2 linked regions of the Anolis sagrei genome follow. The protein of the gene in region 1 binds, or shares a complex with, the protein of each later gene. Links are inferred from orthologs where the notes say so. Each region holds a gene or a part of one and is shown on either strand. Other genes may lie near its edges.

Region 1 (3,747 bases):
AAATGGAGAAATAAGCAGAGGAAGAAACAGGGGAAGAGTGGGGGAAGCAGTTGAGGAAGGGGCACTCCCTTCCACAATCCCCCCTCCGATCCCCTTCCAATGGGGAAAGAAGTGGATAAAGAAATGAAGGAAGAAATGGAGAGGATAATAGAGAGAAAAATGGAGAAAGAAGCAAGGGAAGAAGTAGAAGAAGAGTGGAGGAAACAGTGGAGGAAACAGTGGAGGAAGGGGCGCCCCCTACCCCCCTTTCCCCCTCCAATTCCCTTCCAATGGAGGAAATTGATAAAGAAATGAAGGAACAAATGAAGAGGATAATAGAGGGGAAAATTGAAAGGGAAGCAGGGGAAGAAGTAGAGGAAGGGTGGGGGAAGCAGTGGAGGAAGGGGCGCCCCCTCCCCCCTTTCCCCCTCCAATACCCTTCCAATGGAGGAAGAAATTGATAAAGAAATGAAGGAAGAAACTGAGAAAGAAATACTGGAAGAAAGAGGGGAAGAAGTGGAGAGAGATGGAGGGGAAGAGTGGGGGAAGCGGTTGCGAAAGTGGCGCCCCCCTGCCCAAGCCCCCCTCCAATCCCGGCTACCTACCGAGTTCGCAGAGCCTGCTGAGGTGGAAGGGGTTGCAGCAGAGGGGCTCGGGCCCGGGCGCCTTCCCGTAGGACTCGCAGGCGGGGAGGCGCTTGAGCTCGGCGCCGGGCCGGAGGTCTGGCCATCGGAAGACCTTTCCGAGGAGGAGCGGGAGGGAGTACCAGTGGGGCCCCAGCTTGGCGTCGCCCTTGCCGGGCAGGAGGAGGCAGGCGGTGCGGGTGGCGCCGCGGGACTCCACGGCCTGGAGCAGCGCCTCCAGCTGCTTCTCCTTCAGCCGCTTGAGCACGGCGTGGGTCAGCGCCTTCAGCTCCGCCTCCGAGCCGCCCGCGTGGGGGCCCTTGGGGGCCTTGCCGCCGCCTTTGCCCAGGCAGCAAACCCGGCTCCCTCCTCCTCCGCCGCCGCCATGCGCCCGGGGATCCAGCGCGCCCTCGCCCAGCTCCCCGCCGCCTTCCTCGTCGCCTCCTCCGCCGCTGGAGCTGCCTCCGCCGGTTCCTCCTCCTCCGTGGCCGGTTCCCCCAGCTCCCGCCGCTGCTGAGGCCGCCGCCGCCGCTGCTCCCGGGGCACGGCTCCGCCAGAGTCTCCGAACGAGCACCGAGCGTTTGGTCCTGAACATGCGGGACGAGAAGAAGGGCGCTCCCCGGCTAAGCAGCGGGCATGCCGTCCGCAACTCATGAAGGATCCGGGGCCCGAGTCCAGGCAGCCAGGGCCAGCAGCCTGAAATGATGATGGGGCCGCGGAGGGAGAGCCGAGAAACGGGGGAAGGAGGGAGGGGAAAAACAAGGGAGGGAGACCCACGAAAGGCCCCTCTCCGCCTCGGCCTCGGAAAGGAATCCGCCGCCTTTACATCCACGGAAGGAGAGAAAGAGAGCGCGAGGGAGTTCGTGGGGAGGCCTTCCTTTCGCCTTCCCTTCCCTCCTCAAAGAGCAACACAACACACCGAGTCAGAGCCAAGAGATAGACACCATGCCCTCGCTCGCTTCTCCTCCAAAGAAACACAATCCGGATGGATGGAAGGAAAAGGAAGAAAAGAAAGGTGTATTTCCAAGGGTGCTTCTCCTTCTCCTTCCTCTTCTTCTCCCAAGCCTAGAGCCAAGTCGTCTTCTGAAGTGAGTGAGGATGGAGGAGTTGCGTGGCTTAGTTCCCTCCTCCTCCTCCTCCTCCTCCTCCCCCGCCCCTGAAGGAAAAGAAGGGGCTGCGAAAGAAACACAGGAAAGGAGGAGAAGAAAGTCTCCCTCTCTCCAGCAAGGCACACGCTGCTGCTCCGGAGGATCCTCAATCAATGCACAATCCTTCCCAAGGAATCTCTAGATGTGGTCCTGCTCAAAGGAGGGCGAGGCAAAATAGATATATATTTGTAGCGAGTCTTTAAGACCAATCCACTGCCACAATCGCGAGGTTTCTTCTCATCCAGACCAAAAAGAAATCCGTGCCTGGCTTTGGTGAGGAGGGAGAGGAGGAGGGGGGCTTTTCTACACTGGGGGGCTTCTCCTCCTCCTCCTCCAAAGCTGGAGCATCGCCTTTCCGTGCAAAGCCAGCAGCCCCCTTCTTCTTGGAAAGGCTTGCCTTCCTTCCTTCCTTTCCTCGGCACAAGAGCGAGGTTTCCTCGGTGCCAAGTTCTCCCCCACAATCTCCTCTTTTTTGGAGGGGGAAGGGGAGGAAAGGAAAGGAAAGGAAAAGGGGGAAAGGAAAGACGAAGAAGAGAGAGAGAGAGGAAACGCCGCGGTGCCCAAGAAGTCGGCGAGGAGGGAAGGACCGAGGAATGACAGGCGGGGGCAGAGTGTCGCCAGCCAAGCCTCCTGTCTGTCTCTGTCTGTGTGTGTGTGTTGTGTGTGTGTGTCTGCGTCTCTCTCTCTCTCCAATGCGGTTCCCTCCGCGCCTCCTTCTCCTTCCTCTGACGGCTGTCTGCGCCCTCCTTCCTTCCAGCCGGAGCAGCGCCTCTGTCGACACACACAGAGACGACGCACAGACACACACACACATACGCGCACAACAGGGAGGGAGGGGGGAGGAGAAGGGGGAGACCCAGAGCTCTCCTTCGGCCCGGGCTTCCTCTCTCTCTCTCCTTTCCCTCCCTCCTGCCCTTTTTCCGCTCCCTTTCTACCTCCTTCTTCAAGCGCAAGGAGTGGAAGCCAACAGAAGGAGGCGCGCCGTGCGCCCTGGCCTCGCTTCCCTCTCCAGCCTTTTCCTCCCTTCCTTTTTTCGAGCCGACCTCGCTTGGGAGGCTTATGCGGGCACGGATAGAAAGAAGAGCCTTTTCAGAATGGAGTGGTCGCCATACAATGTTGGATTTGGGTTCTTACAAAGAGGGGGAGAGGCGGGAAAGGGGTGCCCCCCCTCCCGGCTTGTGCGCCAGTCCCTTTTACGCACGGATTGTGCGCGCTCGATATGCTCTGCGTTGGCTCTGGTTTTTTCGTGCCAAGGCGACAGGGGAAGGGGGGCTAATGTGGGCTGGGGTCCCTTCTGCCCCCTCCCCACAACCCAGTCCCCTCTTCTCCCTCCTCTCTTCCTCTTCCTCCTCTCTTTCCCCTCCTCCTTCTCCCGCCTGGCTTTGGGTAGCTTTCCGACTGCGCAGTGGGCCACTCTCTTCCTCCTCCTCCTCCTCCTCTCCAATCCTCTCCTCCTCCTCCTCCTCGCCGCCTCTCCCCGTCCTCTCTTATCACGTGGGCGTCTAGACACCCTGTCGCTTTTTGATTTAAAAAAAAAAAGAAGCAAAGAAGGGAAGGAGGGGGAAAAAAACACCCAGCGATTGTATTGCGCAAAGGCGGCATCGGGTGGCTGGAAGCTATTTTTTTCTCTCCTCCTTTTTAATTCCTGAAGTCCAAGGGAAGGGAAGGAAGGAAGGAAGCTCGCAGGGTTGAAAGGGAAATCTCGAGGGAAAGAACATCAACAATCATAGAAGCAAGGTTCAGGACATCCGAGGAAGTGGGTTGGTGATGCTCTTCAAAGCTCACCAGACTCAGGACTCTCAACCTTTCTCATGCAGTGACCCCTTAATGCAGTTCCTCATGTTGTGGTGACCCCCAACCAGAAAATTATTCTCATTGCTACTTCATAACTGCAATTTTGCTACTGTTCTGAATTGTAATGTAAAAAAATCTGATATGCAGGATGTATTTTCATTCACTGGACCAAATTTGACACAAACACCTCATTATGCCCAAAT
Region 2 (3,747 bases), about 110 Mb from region 1:
GGAGATAAAGTGGATTATCTGATTTGATATTCTGGGTAATATGGCCGCGTAGAAGGGACCTGAGACTACACTAACCATATAATGCAGTTCAAACTGCATTATATTGCAGTGTAGATGGGGTGTACTAAGACCCTTTCTACACGGTCATATAAAATCCAGATTATCAACTTCGAACTGGATTAAATGGCAGTGTAGACTCATAATCCAGTTCAAAGGAGATAGCATGGATTATCTGCTTTGATAATCTGGACTATATGACAGTGTAGAAGGGCCCTTAAAGAGTTGCGAAGAGGTTTCAGTTTTGAATCCCTCCTTTCCGGTTCCTTTTAAAATTGACCATACTTTAGAATCCTATGCTGTATAGAGAGGAAATGAAATCAGGGGTTCTTTTACACAGCCATATAATCCAGAATATCAAGGCAGAAAATTCCACAGTATCTGCTTTGAACTGGGGCCCCTTCCACACAGCTGTATAAAATCCCATATTGAATTGGATTATATAGCAGTGTGGACTCAGATGTTCCAGTTCAAAGCAGATATTGTGAGTTATTGTGCCTTGATATTATGAGTTATATGGCTATGTGGAAGGGCCCTGAGTCCACACTACCATATAATCCAGATAATGTATGATTTTATACAGCTGTAAGGAAAGGTCCTCAGATAGCCCAGTTCAAAGCAGATATGGGATTTTATGCCTTGATATTGTGGGTTATATGGCTGTGTGGAAGGGCCCAGAGTCCACACTGCCATATATTCCAGTTCAAAGTAAATAATGTGGGGCTGTATAATCAGCTGTGGGAAAGGGCCCTGAGTCCACATTACCATATATTCTAGTTCAAAGCAGATATTGTGGGATTATATTCAGCTCAAGGGTCTGGAGAACAAGCCCTATGAGGAGCGGCTTAGGGAACTGGGCATGTTTAGCCTGAAGAAGAGAAGGCTGAGAGGAGATATGATAGCCATGTATAAATATGTGAGAGGAAGCCACAGGGAGGAGGGAGCAAGCTTGTTTTCTGCTTCCTTGGAGACTAGGGCGCGGAACAATGGCTTCAAACTACAAGAGAGGAGATTCCATCTGAACATTAGGAAGAACTTTCTGACTGTGAGAGCCATTCAGCAGTGGAACTCTCTGCCCCGGAGTGTGGTGGAGGCTCCTTCTTTGGAAGCTTTTAAGCAGAGGCTGGATGGCCATCTGTCGGGGGTGATTTGAATGCAATATTCCTGCTTCTTGGCAGGGGGTTGGACTGGATGGCCCATGAGGTCTCTTCCAACTCTTTGATTCTATGATTCTATGATTCTGTGGAAGGGCCCAGAGTCCACACTGCCATATAATTCTGATAACGTAGGATTTTATACAGCTGTAAGGAAGGGCCCTCAGATAACCCAGTTCAAAGCAGGTATTGTGGGATTTTCTGCCTTGATATTCTGAGTTATATGGCTGTGTGGAAGGGGGCCTGAGAGCTGAAGAGAATATCACATTTTTTGCTTTGAACTGGGATATATGTGGACTCAGATAACCCAGTTCAAAGTAGATACTGTGTGGTTTTCTACCTTGATTTTGTGGGTTATAGGTCTGTGTGGAAGGGCCCAGAGTCCACACTGCCATATATTCCAGTTCAAAGCAGATATTGTGGAATTGTACTCAGTTGTGTTGAAGGGCCCAGAGTCCATACTGCCATATATTCCAGTTCAAAGCAGATATTGTGGGATTGTATATTCAGCTGTGGGAAAGGACCCAGAGTCCACACTGTCATATATTCCAGTTCAAAGCAGATATTGTGGGATTATCTGTGGGCTCTTCCACACAGCGGAATAAAACCCTACATTATCTGCTTTGAATTGGGATATCTTGCAGTGTGTGTGGAAGGGCCCTGAGTCCACACTGCCATATATTCCACATAATCCAGTTCAAAGTAGATACTGTGGGATTTTCTGCCCTGATATTCTGGGTTATATGGCTGTGAGGAAGGGCCCAGAGTCCACAGTGCCATATATTCCAATGCAAAGCAGATAATGTGGGGTTGTACTCAGCTGTGTGGGGAAGGGCCTCCAGAGTGGCTTGCTGCCTCCTGAGGCCTTCCCTTGAGGCTTTCTGAGGGAGACTGCAGGTTCAACCTCAAAGCCATGGAAGCCTTGTGTGTGTGTGTGTGTGTGTGTGTGTTCCCCTTCCCCCCACTCCCCTTCCCCGCTTTATTTCCCCAGCCCCCCAACGCTGTGAGCCTTCTTCTCTCCTTTGGAAGGCCCCGTGTTTCCTGAAGTAACGCCTGAACAGGAGCACAAGGCTGTTTCTCCCCCCCCCCCCCGCGCCCCTTCCTCCCTCCCTTTCTCTGCCTGTCTCTCACCTGTCAGTCGCAGCTTGACGGGCCCGTTCCTCCGGGCCCCGGGGTTGGACATGACCCCCTCCCCCCGAGGAAGGCAGGAGAAGGCGGAGGAGGGAAGGCAGGCCTGCTAATGGAGGCGGCTCAGGGAAGAAGCAGCAGCAGCAGCAGCAGCAAGCAGGAACAGCGGCGGCAGCGGCAATCGCCGCCGAAGGGAGAAATGCCCGGATGTGCCCAGTGTCGCCATGAGCAGGGCTCGCCTCAGAAGAGGAGGAGGAGGGAGAGGAGAGGAGGCCGCCTTCCTTCCTTTCTTCCTGCCTGCCTTCCTTTCCTTCCTTCCCGCCCTCTTGTCGGGCAACAAAGGCGGGGAAGGGAAGCCAGAGGGCTGTCCCTCCTCCACACAAAGGGGGTCTCCGCTGTAAAACCGCCTGCCCCGCCTCCTCCTGGCTGCTGGGAGGCTGCACTGGATTCTTAACGCAGTTTGGCCCTGCTTGAACTGCCATTGGGTCCTGAGCTGCCTTTTCTGTGGGCCCTTCCACACAGCCTTATATTTCATGATATCAAGGCCCACAGTATCCACACAGTCCTATATCCCACAATATCAAGGGAGAAAATCCCACAGGATCTGTTTTGAACTGGGTTATTTTGAGTCCACACTGCCATATATTCCAATTCAAAGTAGAAAATGTGGGATTTTATTCAGCTCTGTGGAAAGGCCCTCAGATAACCCTGTTCAAAGCAGATATTGTGGGGTTTTCTGCCTTAATATTCTGGTATACAGGGCTGTGTGGAAGGGGCCTGGGTTATCTAAGTCCACACTCAAATAATAAGGGGTTTTCTGCTTTAATATTCTGGGATATAGGGCTGTGTCTGGGATCTGGCCGGGGTGGTCCATGCCTTGGTCACCTCTAGATTAGATTACTGCAATGCGCTCTACGTGGGGCTGCCCTTGAAAACGGCTCGGAAATTCCAACTGGTCCAACGGGCAGCAGCCAGGATGTTAACCAGGGCTCCATACAGAGAGAGGTCAACCCTCCTGTTCAAGGAGCTCCACTGGCTACCATTTATCTTCCGAGCCCAATTTAAGGTGCAAGTGCTTACCTTCAAAGCCCTAAACGGTTTGGGACCAGCCTACCTGCGTGACCGCATCTCCGTCTATGAACCCACACGTTCACTTCGCTCATCCAGAGAGGCCCTGCTCGTGATTCCGCCTGCGTCGCAAGCGTGCTTGGTGGGGACTCAAGACAGGGCCTTTTCTGTGGTGGCCCCCCGACTCTGGAACACCCTCCCAAAGATCTTAGACAGGCCCCTACACTGGCAGTCTTCAGAAAGAACTTGAAGACCTTGCTGTTCCGATGTGCCTTCCCAGATTAGGAATCTCCAATACCAAGTCCCAGAAGCACTTTAGTAGAACTAAGATCGCTGCACA

The links. The genes of interacting proteins can lie anywhere in the genome.
Region 2: the proteins of SMAD7 (region 1) and SMURF2 are in contact, whole or in part, in an NMR structure (PDB 2LTZ), measured with the Homo sapiens proteins. The link is inferred for Anolis sagrei from reciprocal best matches to the Homo sapiens genes SMAD7 and SMURF2. Residues at the interface, in NP_005895.1 of Homo sapiens: Glu203, Leu204, Glu205, Ser206, Pro207, Pro208, Pro209, Tyr211, Ser212, Arg213, Tyr214, Pro215, Met216, Asp217; in NP_073576.1 of Homo sapiens: Glu304, Arg306, Asn307, Thr308, Ala309, Thr310, Arg312, Tyr314, Val316, Asp317, His318, Arg321, Thr322, Thr323, Gln324, Phe325, Thr326.

The regions. Positions count from the first base shown.
Region 1 is NC_090022.1:288,283,618-288,287,364, reverse strand, and holds the start of SMAD7 (mothers against decapentaplegic homolog 7), read right to left. Parts: upstream 2,505-3,747; 5' UTR 1,198-2,504; coding exon 585-1,197; intron 1-584. UniProt on the Homo sapiens protein: Antagonist of signaling by TGF-beta (transforming growth factor) type 1 receptor superfamily members; has been shown to inhibit TGF-beta (Transforming growth factor) and activin signaling by associating with their receptors thus preventing SMAD2 access.
Region 2 is NC_090022.1:179,910,159-179,913,905, forward strand, and holds the start of SMURF2 (E3 ubiquitin-protein ligase SMURF2), read right to left. Parts: upstream 2,858-3,747; 5' UTR 2,822-2,857; coding exon 2,343-2,821; intron 1-2,342. UniProt on the Homo sapiens protein: E3 ubiquitin-protein ligase which accepts ubiquitin from an E2 ubiquitin-conjugating enzyme in the form of a thioester and then directly transfers the ubiquitin to targeted substrates.